Drosophila melanogaster: one gene and its partners. The protein of the gene in region 1 binds, or shares a complex with, the protein of each later gene. Each region holds a gene or a part of one and is shown in the gene's direction. Other genes may lie near its edges.

The links. The genes of interacting proteins can lie anywhere in the genome.
Region 2: MED16 (region 1) and MED24 share a complex: the UniProt entries of both Drosophila melanogaster proteins name them as parts of the mediator complex.
Region 3: MED16 (region 1) and MED31 share a complex: the UniProt entries of both Drosophila melanogaster proteins name them as parts of the mediator complex.

The regions. Positions count from the first base shown.
Region 1 is NT_033778.4:22,181,155-22,186,392, forward strand, and holds MED16 (mediator complex subunit 16), read left to right. Parts: upstream 1-1,983; 5' UTR 1,984-2,056; coding exon 2,057-4,513; 3' UTR 4,514-4,738; downstream 4,739-5,238. Other genes in the region: CG11275 (uncharacterized protein), read left to right, coding at 122-1,375; Vps35 (vacuolar protein sorting 35), read left to right, coding at 5,107-5,166. UniProt on the Drosophila melanogaster protein: Component of the Mediator complex, a coactivator involved in the regulated transcription of nearly all RNA polymerase II-dependent genes.
Region 2 is NT_037436.4:8,189,641-8,197,120, forward strand, and holds MED24 (mediator complex subunit 24), read left to right. Parts: upstream 1-1,629; 5' UTR 1,630-1,748; coding exon 1,749-1,838; intron 1,839-1,881; exon of another isoform or gene 1,882-1,931; coding exon of another isoform or gene 1,932-2,686; intron 2,687-2,773; coding exon of another isoform or gene 2,774-3,368; exon of another isoform or gene 3,369-3,476; intron 3,477-3,549; coding exon 3,550-3,636; intron 3,637-3,694; coding exon 3,695-3,852; intron 3,853-3,921; coding exon 3,922-4,764; intron 4,765-4,831; coding exon 4,832-5,192; intron 5,193-5,249; coding exon 5,250-6,067; intron 6,068-6,206; exon of another isoform or gene 6,207-6,210; coding exon 6,211-6,835; 3' UTR 6,836-6,933; downstream 6,934-7,480. Other genes in the region: Atg18a (Autophagy-related 18a), read left to right, coding at 202-329, 411-628; CG7387 (uncharacterized protein), read right to left, coding at 1,932-2,686, 2,774-3,368; NEDD8-conjugating enzyme UbcE2M, read right to left, coding at 7,100-7,243. UniProt on the Drosophila melanogaster protein: Component of the Mediator complex, a coactivator involved in the regulated transcription of nearly all RNA polymerase II-dependent genes.
Region 3 is NT_033777.3:4,640,290-4,643,839, forward strand, and holds MED31 (mediator complex subunit 31), read left to right. Parts: upstream 1-1,673; 5' UTR 1,674-1,706; coding exon of another isoform or gene 1,707-1,719; exon of another isoform or gene 1,720-1,994; 5' UTR 1,995-2,111; coding exon 2,112-2,139; intron 2,140-2,279; coding exon 2,280-2,369; intron 2,370-2,461; coding exon 2,462-2,958; 3' UTR 2,959-3,003; downstream 3,004-3,550. Other genes in the region: nuclease slx1, read left to right, coding at 1,707-1,719, 3,255-3,550. UniProt on the Drosophila melanogaster protein: Component of the Mediator complex, a coactivator involved in the regulated transcription of nearly all RNA polymerase II-dependent genes.

The DNA.
Region 1 (5,238 bases):
GCGCCTGAATAGTTTCTATTATACTTCGAATGATTGATGGCCGCCTATGACACGGGCAAATTGGAAACAGGTTTTCGAATGGCTCATTAATATCTACCACCTTTCTCTGCCCCTTTCGCAGATGAGCATCTCGGCGGTGGATCGCAAAGAGCCGGGCAGTGTGAGCAGCGGTCTGGGTAGGCGATACGGGCAGCTGCTCCGTGGAGCCAAGTACACAGATTGCGTGTTCCACGTGTGCGAGGAGCAAGTGAAATGCCACAAGCTCATCCTGAGCTCCGCCAGTCCCGTTTTCGAGGCAATGTTCTTTGGTCCCATGCAAAACAACGAGCCCGAGCCGGAAATCGAAATCCACGACATAAGCTCTGCCATCTTCAAGGTGCTGGTGGAGTACATCTACACGGGCGTCGTTGACTACAATGGCCTGGAGCTGGTGGCCTGCATTGAGCTGTACTACGCCGCTGAGAAGTATCTGCTGGAGGAGCTGATCGCCGACACGCTGATGGTTATCACCCGCAAGCTGCGATTTGCCAATATCTTGCCCGCTCTAGAGCTAAGTGTTTGCATGGGCCTCGACGGGTTGCTGGAGGTCTGCATGACCTTTTTCATGCGATGCTGTGTTAATAATGGACAGTATATGAGCCACCTTAAGGAGCACTATGTGCACGTGTCCAAGGAGTGTGTGAAGGCCATAATAGCGGCGTGCAAGGAACCGCACAAGTTACTCATCTGGTATGTTTATGAGTGGACACGACAGGAGTGCGAGCAGTTGGGTCTGGGTCCCAGCGATGCCGACTTAGTAGTGCACGACTTGGGTGGCAAAACAAGCGACTGGCCTGCGGCTTCGGGTGCTAGTGATTTGGAATCACCTGCCCTAACTCCGGTGGTTTTGGTGGAGCGCTGCTATTACAAGGCCTGCAGGCCCTTTACAGTGGATGCAGAAACTCCGCTGTTTCGCTTGCGTCTAAAGTGCTCTAGATTTATCTCCTTGATGGGCTTGGTCCTGAACAGCAGGCTGACTCCCAACCTATTGGGTCACGTCCAGCAGCTGGAGTACCGCGAATCGCTGCGGCTGGACCTTTGCGAGGTGCCCGCTGAAAGCGAGGGTCCGGCCACGTCGCCCGTATGGAGTCACGTTGTCCAGAGCCAGAATACCAAGTACAACTGCAACCTGCATCTTGGCTGGCGACGCGAAGAGGCCTGTGTGCTGAATCCGGAGCTGACCTATGAGCTGCAGATCCGCTGGGACAGCAGTGCTTACGGCGCCGAGTATCCGTGCAGCCTGCAGTCCTGCCAGGCGGACGGAATTCGGTTCACTGACGAGGACAGCTTCAGCGGAAGTCTCGTCAAGGGACTGCGCTATGCCAACCTGGTGTAGCCACTTCAGCCGCGATATCATAATTAGTTAGTCCGTAAGACGTGTATGTATTTATTGCCCTAAGTTAATGTACGCTGCCTCAGAGTTCAATAAACTGTGAGTAATATCGCTTCAAACACAAGACGTCTGCTGATAAATATAAAAAGCCGGTTTGCAGCCGTTTTTGTTTGGCGAACGAATCGAACTCGATCGGGGAACGGCGTCCTGGCTGCGAATACGGAAACTTATCTCACCTGTTGTTGCGGCCACTAAAAAAAAAAAATCGGTAAAACAATAAACTATAATATAATCACCAGATGTAAACAAAGCGAAATTGAACGAGGGACAGTGTGGCCAACTGGTCATAATAATTCTTGCTTAAATTGGGGCGACCGTAAAATAATTAACAGTGAGAAACTGGCTATTATTTAATAACTTAATTTTTGTTTAAATGATTAATGATTTAAAGCTGCTGCGCTGTAAAAGCTTTATTTGCTGTTCAGAATTAAAATATTAATGAGCACTATCTTAAATCTAAACATAAAAACCAAACATTTTACAGTAACAATGGAATCAAAAATGCAGTGGAAAAGCGCTAAACACCCGCGAAACAGTGCTGTAAAGTTCTTCACAGAGTAGTGTTGGCAGACGCCGGGTGCAAAACAATAATAGTCCGCTTTGGTTTTTGTTTACGCTGCAAAAATGACGATTTTGTACAAAGTGGAGGGCAAGGAGTTCAGCAAGGACAGCGTTTTTCCGCACAAGAAGGTCCTCTGCTCAGTCTCCGCACGGAACATCGTTGCGTTTAGCGCCCTCCAGAGCGCCATATTTCCGGCTTCCCACGGAGGAGATGCCGGCGATGGATCCTTGCCGGGAGCGGGTTTGGCCGTAGGCGCGAGCAACAGCCATGTGTACGTGTGCGACATCGTGACGCCGTGGGAATACTATAAGGTGTGCTCCTCCAAATCGCTTATCAGCGTCCTCCAGTGGAGTCCCAATGGGGAGCAACTGCTGCTTGGATACGTCGGCGGTCGCGTCGAGATCTGGCAGCCGAGGAACCAGTCAATTAACCTATGGGTGCTGCAGTATTACGCCACCGTGCCCAGCGAGGACATTATAGAAGCACAGTTCTTTCAGAATGGCAAAGGAGTGATCTTCAATGCGCTGAAGAAGGATCACACCTACTATGCGGAGAAGTTCGAGCGGGTGGAGCAGCAGAGGCCCACTCTCAGCGGATTTGGCGGAGTGGCCAGCGAGGGATGCGTGCTACTCACTTCCTCAGGCCTGCTGGCCGCCTTCAGTCTCCCCGCAATCCAAAAGACATCCGCCGCAGGAGCTGATGGTCCTGCCCACGAGGTCGTCGAGTTGACACCCGCGCTCCACAGCATCGGCATATCGCGCAGCTTCATCGAACACTGCAGCATGACGCCAAGTCCATCGGGAGCCCTTAATATCGCTTTCAGCTGTGGCTGGCAGCAACAGTTGGTGCAATGCTTTAAGGTCTCGCTTTCATTGGAGGGCGAACTGGGTCTGGAGCAGCACTTGGCCATCAAATCCGAGTCCCAGACCAGCATATTTCTGGGTCCTCTTGACGGGAGGCGGATCAGTCACCTAAAATGGACGCGAATAGCCAACGAGGATGTGATTTTTATAGCCTACGCTTGTCCAGATGGTGCTGGCAGCCAACTGGAGCAATGGACATTGACACGCCGTCACCAAAGTGTCCACGCCCTTCTCCAGGGTGGAGGAGGTGCCAACAACAAGCCAAATGAGTTCGTGCAATCGGAAAGCTGGGAGCAGGTGGGCAAAGTGCAACTAAATGCATCCTTGGCGGATATCAGCGTTACACGACTATCGGTATCAACGCCGGACTCTTGCCAAGTGTACGCCATTCTGCAGGACAACAGCGTCCAGGTGCTGGAGCCCAACTCGATGAAGCAGCTTAATCACACCCAGTTTGATAGGTTATCTGACGCCAGTGGAGCAGTAAAGTTCGTTAGCGGCGACTTGACACCTAGCAGCCAAATTCTCCTAATCTTTGATAGCCATGCACAACTTTACGCCATGCAGGCACCTCTGCCGAAGCAAGGAGGATCTGGTTTGCTACTTCTGGAATATTGCATCGTTACAGGTTGCGATGCCAGCGATGTGCTACTCCTTAATCTAGGCAACCTGGAGGCTCTGGTGGAGAAGCTAACCGACAACTTTACGCGGCAACCTTCCTTTGTGCGGCACTTTTATTATGCTAATTTTTTGGCCCTCAAGTCCAACATATGCCGCATGCAGCAGCAGGAGTTTGACAATCTCATTATCCTACACGCAATATCCACCACATTCAAGAGCCTCCTGCGACCGTCTGATCTGGGTTTCCAGGATAAAGGACCTGCCGATAACTTGGCCATCAAGCTGGCCGAATCCATTCCGGATGTGGACACCGTGATGCTGAACCTGGACGCCAAGGACTTTACAGTGGAGCCGGTGATGCTGCAAAGTCTACAGCAACTGATTCAGTGGGTCACCGACCTGGCACTCAACATGCTGCATCGTCTGCCCGAGGAGGTAATGAAGACCAAGCTCTCCGGAAAGCGGCCTAGCTACGATATCAGCCGAGACATCGTGGCCATCAGCAGTCTGCGCGAGCTGCTGGTTATGATCCGCATTTGGGGCCTGTTAAACACCCAGTGCCTGCCCGTCTACACCAAGACGATGGACAACATCGATGTGCTAGTGATCTTGTTTCGTTTGCTTACTCGCCTGGCCCAGAATCCTGCAGAACCGGACGAAATGCTGCTGGACGAGTGCAGCCTGCTTTCCAAGCAGCTCCTAATTCCCCAGCCCACCAAGTTCAACCCCACCACGCTGCTGAGTGCCCAAGGATTCGCGGCCGTAAAGTCGGGACAGCTGCAGTTCACCTCCATGGAGGAGCCAACTTGCTTGCAGGACATGGAGACGGAGGAGGTGGTCTTCGCCAGCTCTGTGAAGGATGGCGTGAGCAATCTCCAACTGGGCGCCCGACCCAGCCACATTCGGAGATGCGCCCGCTGCGGATTCGTGTTCGTGAATAACGCCAGCAAAGTGGCCAAGACGTCGGCCCTCAAGGCGTGGTTTAGTAAGTGGCTGCACTGCCACTGTGGGGGCTTTTGGAAGCAGGTTCACTAGTAAATCTATGTGAGCAATGACCTTAGTTATTAAGTATGATTTAAGCTTCAAATAAAAGTACATGATTGCCAGCAATTTTAGTGAAATCAAGAAATTTAATATACTAAATATATTTCTTCTTTGCACGACGTGCTCGTTCAAAAAACTTAAGCCACAGAGAAGTCACCACCATACTTCACTATTTCAAAACTAAATTTATTTGAATAAAATATATTTTTTAACTCTATCTATGAATTGTGGTTGGTGTATTTGCTAACGGTTTGATATTAACAACAACAACATATCGAAGAACTTGCATCACTAGCATGTCAATCGATATCAGGACGTCCAATGTGTCTGTCGGCTGTCGGCAATCGATATCTCCTCTGCAAATAGATATTTTCAGAATAATTGGCTTATTTCACTTCGCCCTAACGCTGCAGTAATGGTAAGTGCATCGAGGTGCAACCTGTAGTCGCCAGAAGTCGAAATTCCTAGAGAACCGAGTGCCCCAGGTCCAGGCTTAACCGAGTGCTGAGTGCCCACCCTGTCGACGTCAAAAGAGGGCTGCCTGTGGTGAGAAGCAACGCCCCCCCGGTCCAAATCCCACGTCCATGTATCCCTGGAGCTCCTCCTCGTACGGCGGCCAGATTCCCAGTGCCGCCAACGTCCGGGTAAATACTCCGCCAATCCCAGATTACGAATCTTGGATATGTGTAATCGTTAATCCACTTATCTTCAATTTG
Region 2 (7,480 bases), on another chromosome or scaffold:
CCTACTTTATCTGGCTTCATATGTTTGAATTTCCCTGAACTCTGTTGAAATGTAATTAATATGCTCTTTGCAAAAGTAGCCTAGTACATTTCATAAAGGTTTATAAAACAAAAATTGAATCACGTGCAAATTGAACTACAAACTGATTACCCTGCCTCTATTTCAAGTTCTAAATAACGGTTCATTCTGTTGTATTTGTAGACTTTTGATTGCCTCGCAGGATGGGTACTTGTACGTGTATTCCATTCCCACCGTCGAGGGCGCAGAGTGCCAGCTAATAAAGAGGCACGACCTGCGGCTGGAGGACCACTATGCCATGGATATCAAAGGTGCTTAACTGTTCGCTTCTCGCACACACTTCACACTTACACACATCCCAACCAAACCCACAATCGAAACAAATTCTCTAGTTGATTCACCTCAAACTCTAGGCCTTAACAGTGGCGTGAGCATTGGCGGAGCAGCTGGAGTTCCGCCGAGCAGTGCAAGTGCAGCCGGAGCAGGCACTGGTGGAAGTGGCGGTGATGGCAAGTCGGCTGTTTCTGTTACCGGTGGTGTCGACAAACCAAGTAGCTCCTATGCGTCGGCCGTGAAGGGTGACGATCCCGTGGGACCCTCATCCGCTTAGACAAGGTCAATGATCAAAAATGAGAGATGCAGCGATGGTAAACGAAACTCACTCCTCAAAGTAATAAGGACGATGATGCTAAAGTGATTACAATGATGCTTGGCGACTGGCGGCGGCGATAATGATGATGAATAAACGACGGTGGCTCTGTGGCGTCAAGCGTATTTAAGTAAATAAATAGGTCATAGACTTAATTTAGCTCTTAACGTTGTCAGCGATGATTCTTCCTCGTTTTGTACCAGCCAATATTCCTTTGTACGGCCTCTCCCTACCCAAAACATTTTTTAGTTTTAAGCCTCCGTTCCTGGCGCTGCCATTGGAATGTGAAATGCTTTTGTCATACACTCCTAAGTTAGTTGTTAATTAATAATTTAGACGGATTTACAGATTCGCTTTGATATTTGAGTTGCCAGCTTTTTATACAAAATAAACGGCCTTTGCAAATTAGTTTTTAATTTTTTTATTTTTCCAGTCCTCGCGCATCTTCCCTTGACAATCCACCGAACTCGATTTGTATGTAAAGTTCTCGCCTAGCTATTGTTTAATCATATCGAAATATCTCGGATTAAGCACATACACCACACCTATATATATATATTATATATTCAATTTAAAATTTAACATTCAGCTAGCGACACGATGAGTGAAATGAAATTCAAAAAATCGGAGCGTGCAATGGAGGAACAATTTTCGGCATATATAAATAGAATATATTTTGTACAAAGTCAAATATTTTAGAACATAATGTTTAAAATGAAAACAGTTTACAAATGAAACTCATACGCTACTTTATTGTATTCAATAAATTATTTGAATTAAAATTTGTTTGTGGGTGCCTTTTCGGTGTCTTAAAATATATTTTAATATTATTTCCTTTATTTGGCTAAATTCCTCGTTGCAAAAACAAAATTTTCAAAATATTTAAAATTGGCGACAAATTTTAAGATTGTGTGTTTTTCAACACTGTAGGATGGGAAAATTATGGTACTCTTTTGGTATGATTAATAAAAGATACCTCGGTCACACTGAGCGCTGCTAAAAAATATATTAGGTTTAAATAAAATAAATTGCGTGAAATACGAGAAAAGTAAAAGTTATATTACTTCCACGGACGCGAGAGATGAAGGAGAACAACAAGATCCTCCAACTCATCTATGTGGCGTGGCGCGAGCGCTGGACGGACTCCCAGTGGGGCATCAACATAAAAAAGGCAAGGCAACCCAAGCAAATCAACACACCAAACAATCAATGTTCGTGTTTACCAATATATTGTAAACGCAATGAGGCCGGTACATTGAGAATTTTAGTGACTCAAATTGCCCGCCTCCGTGCTCTTAGTCTTGGGCTCGAAAACCGGATCCTCTGCCTGGGACAGTGCCAAAACCAGTTGGCGTTGCTTTACGGAGAGATTCCGGGGTATACGCACCTTCAGCGTGACGATGTGGTTGCCCACGCCCTCCCTGGAGCGCACCCCCTTGCCATTGAGCACCACCTGGGTGTGGGATTGGGTGCCCGGCTCCACACGCAGCTCCACGCTTTCGTACAGACCCCGTATCTGAAAGGATCCGCCCAGAATGGCCTCCGAGATGTTTAGGTGCTTGTCGGTTAGAATGTCATTGCCAACGCGTCGGAAATAGTCGCTAGACGGCACCGACAAGCGGTAGGTGACCTGCTGCTTCGTTTCCGGATTTATAATGTTCACCACATCACCGTCCCGGGATCCGGAAGGCACCGATACCATCACATCCACATTGGACACCACGAAGCCGCGATTCGAACATGTTTCGCAGTCGTTGCGATTTGTGAATCGCTTGCCCTTGCACTGCGTGCATGTGTTCACCGATGAGAAGGTTGGCGTTTTGGTCATGACCTTTCCAGTTCCATTGCATCGCCGACAGGGTTCCTTGCCCACATCCCGATGCGCCATCAATTGTGACTTGCCCTTGCAGGTCTCGCATTTCCGCAAGTAGCGCAGCTCTATCCGCTTCTTGCATCCCACTGTCGCCTCAAGGAAGTCAAGTGGCAGATCGAACTCGTTGCTCTTCAGTTTGTTGATCTCTAGAAGGCGATTCAAGGATCGTGTTCATATCGTGATATAGTGAAAAGTGAAATGGTGTTTGATGTATCTAAAATCCGTCTGCTTACCATCATTTGTCGTCTTATCCGAATCGAACTTCTTGGCCTCCTCGAGGCCCACATTTAGGGGATTGCCCGCCTGTTCAAGAAAAGCGCGCTCATCCTTAATCCCGCCCAGCTGATCGTACTCCAAGCGCTTCGTCTCGTCGGTTAGGATGTTGTAGGCGTTGGACAGCTCCTGGAAGTGCTTCAGCTTTTGTTCCGAGTGCGTCGAGTCGGGATGATAGCGCTTGGCCAGCGCATAGAAAGCCGATCTGATTTGCTGGATGGTGGCGTGCCTGTTGACGCCTAACACTTTGTAGTAGTAGTCCTTGGGCATGCCTCGGCTTTGCGGGTACTTAACAGCCGGAGATGACACCTGTTGAGGCGTGGCTCCCGCTGACGTTCGCTTCGCCTCCCGCTGGCGATCTGGATAGTAGGCTGGTTTCGTGGTCCTGAACTGATATTGACTGATCATCCGCATACAGATCCAGCAGGCAGCGACAGCGGGAGCGCGATCCAACTCCAAACAATGTGACGTCTTCCTGCAGCAATCCGTTGCAGCTCCGCTAATTAAAGTGCTTAATACGTCTCCAGGACTGCGAAATAATTTTAAACGAAACATTTTTTATCGCGTAACGAAATATGCAACTATGTGTGCTAACTATATAAGTGGAAATCCTAACTAGATTTTTAAGTGGTTCTGTTTCTGTTTATTTTATGGGGTTGTGACCCAGATATTGTGTTAAAGTTTGACAGGAAAAGAAAATGTTTCATTATTGTCTTTCCCTTGATTACTATTTCAGGTGCTGCCGAGAGGAGTCAGTGGAGATGTATACAATCTGGCTGACTGTCTGATGCAGCAGGCACTCATTGGTTCCACGGCTAATCCGGTGAGTAGTTGATCTGAGTATTTAGATTGTTTTCTAAATTGTAATCTATGCTTTTCAGTTGGTTCTTAACTACCTGAAGCATTCACTGTGCGCCCATCTCGTTTCTCACGCTGCTGTTATTCGGTGCATTGCCAAATATGACAAATTAGAGCGCGTTTATTGCATTACAGCGCTCCTTGAATTCCTGGCCAGCATCGTGGATGGCGTTACCTGCCGGTAAGTCCTTTTAGTTTTATAAGTCGTTAAAAAGCAGGAGTAAAAATAATTGTTCATTTCTATTTCCAGAATAAAATCTGAGGAAGCGGTTTTACCGAGTTCCGTCGTCCACTTGGTGTACTGGCTGCTTCAAATCTTCGCCAGAACTGTGCAGCACTATGAACTGTATGGTGAGATTAGTGCTGAGCAATCATACATGCTGGACCAGACCTGCGTGGTGATAGATCGGCTTAGCCAGCAGCAGTTCCTGCTGTCTATGCTGTACGTGGGCTGTCACGAAGAGCTCGAAATATGTGGACGGATTCGGGATAAGTACGCTACCATCAAGGGATCGTTGACGAACTCAAACTTTACGCTAAATGCACCACAAGTGGAGCAGCAATTGCAGCAGTTGGCCTTTATAGAAGCCAAGCATCTTGAAATGCAACCACTTAATCCGCCGTCAACACTCGAGAAGATCTCGTGCTGCGTGCAACCCTTACTGGCGGTGGAAGTGCTTCTCAATCCGTGCAAGGACACCAGCTACTACGTGGCTGAGTTGCAGATGCTGCAACGATTAAAGAAATACTCCAATACACGGCTCTTCTACGAAATCATCCGTGCTGGATTCCTCACGCTGAGCAATGTTGCGGATACAAGTCCTGACACTATGTGGGGTGCCTTTATGTTCTTTAAAATGCCGCACATCATTAAGCAATTGCACGCCCTGCAACGGATTCCCGGGGAGCAACCACCACCGGCCGATTACATACCCGAGTTGGTGGAGGCTTTGGAATTGCTCATCGAGGACAATCTGCTGCTAGACTTCATGGATACTAAGTGCTCATGCAATATGATCGAGTTCCTTTTGAATGACTGGACCAAGCAACAACTAGTCAATGATGTCCACGTAAAGAAGTTCGCCAGTCAAAGGTTAGTCGAGAAATCATGCATTTTGTACACCCATCTTAATTATATAATTTAAAACGAACTCTTTCAGGGAAGCCGCCTCTCAATTACTCAAAAAATGCGACAATGGCCAACAGACACCCTCCAATATAAACTTCATCAAGCGCGCAGAGGTTCCGCTTTCCGGAGTACTAAAAACGCTGTGCACCAACAAGGTCCAGGACATGGTTAATGTCCTTTGCCAAGTGCCGGTGGGCAACAGCTTCGAGTTGATTCTTTCAGTGGCTACCGTCGAGGGACGCCTCAAGACATTCGTATCGCGTCTGATCCAGTGCAATGAGAACTCCAAGCCGGTGCCGGGCGACCTGGGCAAGCTATGCGTCATCCGGTCCACTCTGTTTGATGTTTCCTTCCTAATGTTGACAAGCATTGTGCAGACCTATGGATCCGATGTTCGTAAACCCGCCTGTTATTACGCTGCAATTTTAATGAATTCTATTTTACTTCAGGTGGTCTTATCTGAGCGTGGTGACTCATTTTTTGAAAAATGGGTGCGTGAGTGCATGGTGGAAAGGAATAAGCTTAAGAATCCGCGTCAAATTCTTGCCCTCTGTGATGACAGTATTGTCGACGAGCTTTTGCTTAGCTTCAGTAAACCAGAGGCATCACAACTTAAGCCAAACAACTTAAGTTGGCAGGAGACTTGCCTTAATCTGCCCGGAGTGCTTCATCATGTGCTAATAGCTTGGGAGCAGGAAACGCTATCCTCGGCGGACGTTAAAAGTATTCTGGACAATATTAAGAGAAGACTTTTCAGTTTTTCCGTTTGCGCCACTAGTTTTCTATGCGCCTACATGTATTCGGTGAAGGAAACGGAACTTCTGAAACCACTAAACATGATTCAGCAGTTCCTGGCTCCGTTGACCAGCGAAGAGCTTTCCAGCCAGGAAAATGCCAAGGAGCGACTAGCTCTCTCCTATCAGATTATCAGAAAAATGCAACACGATGTGCATCCTGCCCCAAGTACCAAGTCCCGCCTCATTTCACATTCCCCGCTAGTCGAGCAGTTTCGGGAGGTGTGGCGAACAGTAGTCGATGCTGGTCACCTGCCCGTTCGCGCCGCTCAGTCGTTGGAGTCGCTTCTGCTAGCCGGTGGCGCGGCGTGGCTGTCCACGCAGTTGGTGGAGCAACTGCTGGCCTGCAAGTACACAAGGGATATGTCGCGAACCATGGACGTTGTGTTTGCCGTAATGCATCTCGACATTGAGAAGACCACTGAGGCGTTGCTCCAGTACGTGGTGGCTCCACTGATACTGCGACGACAAGGGTAAATACCAATATTTTCTTCTGTATATTATTTCATTTATTTATTATCTACAAATCGAATCGATTTAGCAAGAAAGGATGTAAAAATTGAAACTGCTATGATAGAACTCGTACTCACAATTTGGCAATCTTTTTTTTTTCTAGTGAGGACATTAATGAGCCCCAATCCCTGGTACTGGCCCGCCTCTGTGTTTACTGTATTATTTCCTGCCTGGAGAGCCGCAAAGGAAATGGCACTTCCGCTTTGACGGCCATGAAGAAGCGATCGAGATCTCACGATGACGAGGAACTGGCGGCCAATGCAGCCAAAGTGCGCAAGGTGATTGGCGATGGCAGCGACAACTCAAGCGACTTTACGGACACTACGACCGGAGCTGGCCTGGCAGCATTATTGGGCTCCACTTCCACATCTGAACTGCGGACTACGCCGCTTACTCTAAGAGAACCACTGCAGACGAGCGTGCAGCACATTTTCGCAGTGTTCCTGCAGTTTGTCAGTGGAGATGAACTGTCGCCCAAGGCCGTTTTTGTTTATCAGTTCATTTCGCTGCTGGTGGAATGCGGTGGTGAGAGGGTCGCTCCCGTCCTGCGCTTGCTGCCCAACGGCCTGGTGCAACAGCTCCTGAAAGTTTTGGTCACCGACGACATAAAAGTGGGTCTCATCAGCAGACTATACGATCTGCGAATCCAGGCAGGAAGACTGTCCGCTGTGTCTGATCTTTGCCTGTGGCGAAATATGCAGATGGCCAGGCACAGCATTCATCTGTGAGGGATTTGGATGATTGCCACATTGGGTATGCCGATTATGATTAAGAGACGGGTGGGCGAAATTGCTAAATGAATTGTATTAAAAACTAGAAATTGGTGACTTGACTCGGCTTCTTCTTTGCACGCAGTGGATTTTGTTTTCGTTTATTACAATAATTTGTTGTCGCCGATGTTCGTCTGTGTTTTGCTTCATCTTCTTCAGTTAGCGGGTGTAGGGGGAGGTGTATGGACAGGCTTAAAGTAAGAGACCTTGCGATTCCCTATATCACTTGAGCAGACAGCACTCGAAGTAGGTCTCGCCCACACAGCCACCACGCATCGCCTTCTTTACATTGTTCTCGAACTGACGGCGGTTGGTCTGCAGGACGTCGGCCGCCTCCTTGTTGAGCGGATCCTCGGGATTGGGTTCCTGGAAGCAGTTAATTTGGATTAGTAATACTGTTGGCTTGGGTAATAACAAAAATAGAAATAATGATCGTTAAGTGGTATAAACAAACATTTATATTGAATTGTTTCAGTGGGCGTTCAATTAAGCACACTTAGAAATCAATTGTTCACAAAACAAGACATAAAAAATCAATTGTAACTTGAAAACTGTGGCTGTTGATCAAGACTTATGGAACAAAGCGTATAGCCTCTAAAATAA
Region 3 (3,550 bases), on another chromosome or scaffold:
TCTTGGACGATCGAGTGGGTGTTTCTGCGCCGAAAACCGGTTTGCAACTGTAATGGAAAGCAAAAATGTAATGAGTTTTGTAGGCAGTCAGGTACGCCAGGACGACCCCCGGACAGGTAGTGCCAGCTGACACCCATAAACGCTAAGCTCAGACAGTTCTTTAAAATATACCAATAAATCTGCAGCTGTTCCTATGTGGAAAAGCCAACCGTTGGCTTTACCCCTTATGCACCCCCGTAAATAAAGCCGTGGTCATAGTTACAACACTAAACATTTTAATATTACCTATGAATTTTCCCACTTAAGAACATTGATTCATTTCACATGTATATAGGAAGATGTTTAGGAGTAAAGATCACTTTAGTCAAGAGTCGCGACTATGAGATACCCAGCACTCAGCGAAGACATTTATTTGATACGTTTCTAATAATCCTATTTTAACTATTATGACAATTGTATGGAACTACAGTGTTATATGCCAATTTGGGCGTTGTAGATCGTGGTCAGATCGACCAGGCCATTGGTCCGGATCGAAGAAACATTTACATTATAGGGTCGGAATCACTTTTTATACCAGTTACACACTGTACACTTTTCACTCTATAATACTGTTTTAGGTAATGGTCTATTTATCTCGAATTTAGATGTACGAATTAGTGTGGCAAACCAATCGATCAATTAAAATTGCGACTGTGGCTTGCCTAAGCGGACACAAAAGAGACTTACATTCGTAATTACATTGAAATGATTCAGAAGCCTATCAAGAAACAATCTTTGGTTCTATTTGGACGGCAGCTGTGCTGTGCTGTATAGATACATATGCACATATGTACATATGTGTACATCTGTATGCATCTGTATATGTATATACATTTCGGAGTTGTATTCAAGCAGAGCACACTGTAATCTAATAATAGATTCTTCGCCAACATGAATTTTTTGTGGATGATGATTAACCCGTCGAAATCGGGGAAATAGTTGGATATACATATATAATGTTTCATATGCACTTAAATTACATAATTTTGTTAATACTTACATTTCTGAATTGTGCGTCGCTGCTTCGCTTGTTCCTCAGCACAAAAATAGGTGCGGGGGCGTTCTGTCCACAGATAGAAATTAGTTTCACTCGTTGATTTCTCGTTTATTTAGCCTAAACTACGACTTTTTCAGTGGCTTGGTTCCGATTAGATATGTTTTACAGACGAAATTCAAGTTTTTCCTCGCTGCTTTTCAGGCTGACAAAAAAATCAGGCATTGTTCTCCACAGCGTTCGTCGTAGGCTTGTGAAAATACCGAATTAAATGCGCATCACATTAGGGGTAGTGAAATAAATACTGAAGGCTACACACAATTGTTAATTACATATTATAATTAAAAATTGTCAATGTTCTGGTCGGAATTTTATATTTTAATATAAATTTTAATTGTTTTATTATGATTATTTGTAGATACCATTGATCGCTGTACTTCTTGATACATACGCTCAGATTTGTTTAAACTTACTCTGGTATTAAAGATTTTTGTTGGTTAAAACAACCCTAATTCTAATTTTTAACACAGAAACATTTTCAAGAATACCGTTAGCACACACCAAGTAAAATATACGGAAAAGCAGTATTTTACGAAAAAAAAATCGTATTCGGATGAGCTTGCAGCCCTGGCGGGGACAGAAGTAGGGTTGTCGCCGGCCATCAACAATCCAAATGAACTCCTACGGTTTGTAGACAATATTAAAAACTGAATTTAACTGCCTTCCCACAAGAAATCACCAACACAAAGGGAGCGACAACCCACCGCCTGCGCCCAGAAACCTGGTCGACTGTTTTCCCGAGTTTTCTTTTGGCCCACAACCTGCGTTTGCTCTGTGCAGTCACTGCCGCGCCATACATTTTATTTCATTAGCGAAGCCCATATATATTTATAATTTTACTTGTGTGTTTTGTTTGCCGCGACGTTTCGTTTTCAATTCGATGGTGCACCAAAACACACAGCTCAGAACATCCACATAGCACACTGAAAGAAACCAAGAACCCAACCCGACACCGAAACTGAATAGACGCAAGTACCGACCCAACGAGACCCTTTCCAAAGCCAAAGACCAGTCCAAAATGGCCAAAATGTACGGAAAGGGTAAGAGTAAGTACACGCCAATCCACACCCATTTTCGCATTGTAATCTAACACCTACTGACACCGCTTGGCATGCCGAATCCTCAGAGATCTACCAAAAGTGGTGCTAATTTCTCAGGGACTAATGCTCTCCAATTTCTTCCGTAGCTGCTATCGAGTCGGAGGAGCTGCAGAAGCGACGCTGGCAGATCGAGCTGGAGTTCGTGCAGTGCCTGTCGAACCCCAACTATCTAAACTGTAAGAATAATATTACCTCGACCTACCTAATATTCACTTATTCACCATCTTGCGCGTATATCTAAATAAACAATTACAACGCCTTGTGCCAGTCCTTGCACAGCGTGGATTTTTCAAGGACCAGTCGTTCATCAACTACCTGAAGTATCTGCAGTACTGGAAGGAGCCGGACTATGCGAAATACCTCATGTACCCAATGTGCCTCTACTTCCTCGATCTGCTGCAGTACGAACACTTCCGCCGGGAGATCGTCAACTCGCAGTGCTGCAAGTTCATAGACGACCAGGCCATTCTGCAGTGGCAGCACTACACTCGCAAGCGCATCAAACTGATCGAAAACGTTACGGCCGCCCAGCAGCAACAACAGCAGCTTCAGCAGCAACAACAGCAGGCGAACGGCATGGAGGCAGCAACGGGAGGCGAATCAGCAGCACCTACCCCCAACGTGAACGGGTCAGCTTCCACGGCGGATAGTCAACAGACGTCTTCTGCCCTACAGCCTGTCCAAGCACAGCCTGGAAATCCCCAGCAGCAGCAGCAAATCAATGGCGTGGCATCGGGGGCCAACATAAAACTAGAGTTAAACTAGCGCTGGCAACTAAAAGTTTACCAATAAAATAGTATAAGAACCTGGAACAAGTTATTTTGCATTCCATTTATTATCTTCCTTTTTGGCTGAGAAACAGCTACCACTTAACACACCTTATTTTCTTAGCTATTTTAGCCAAACTAAAATTCTAAAATAATTTTATTTCTTTTTTTATTTTAGAAAATCTTGAAAACCTCATCTCATTGCTTTAGTTAGGGTGTCGCCTCCTTTGTCGTTGGTTTTTGGTTGCAGACACAAAGCAAGTTTCATTAATCTATCTGTTGGTGAATTCACAGACCCACAGGACACAGCTTCTCAACAGGAGGAATCCGTCGCGCTGAAGGGCCACTTCTACGGCGTCTATTTGCTATGCAGTCAGAGCTTGGATCCTCGCTACCGGGGAAAATGCTACGTGGGCTTCACCGTGAACCCCAAACGGCGGATACGCCAACACAATCTTGGTTGTGATTTCGGTGGCGCGAGGAAAACCAGTCGCAAAGGGCCGTGGCTGATGGTAATGATCGTGCACGGATTCCCGAATAATACAGTGGCACTCCAGTTTGAATGGGCTTGGCAACAGCCGTCGCTTTCA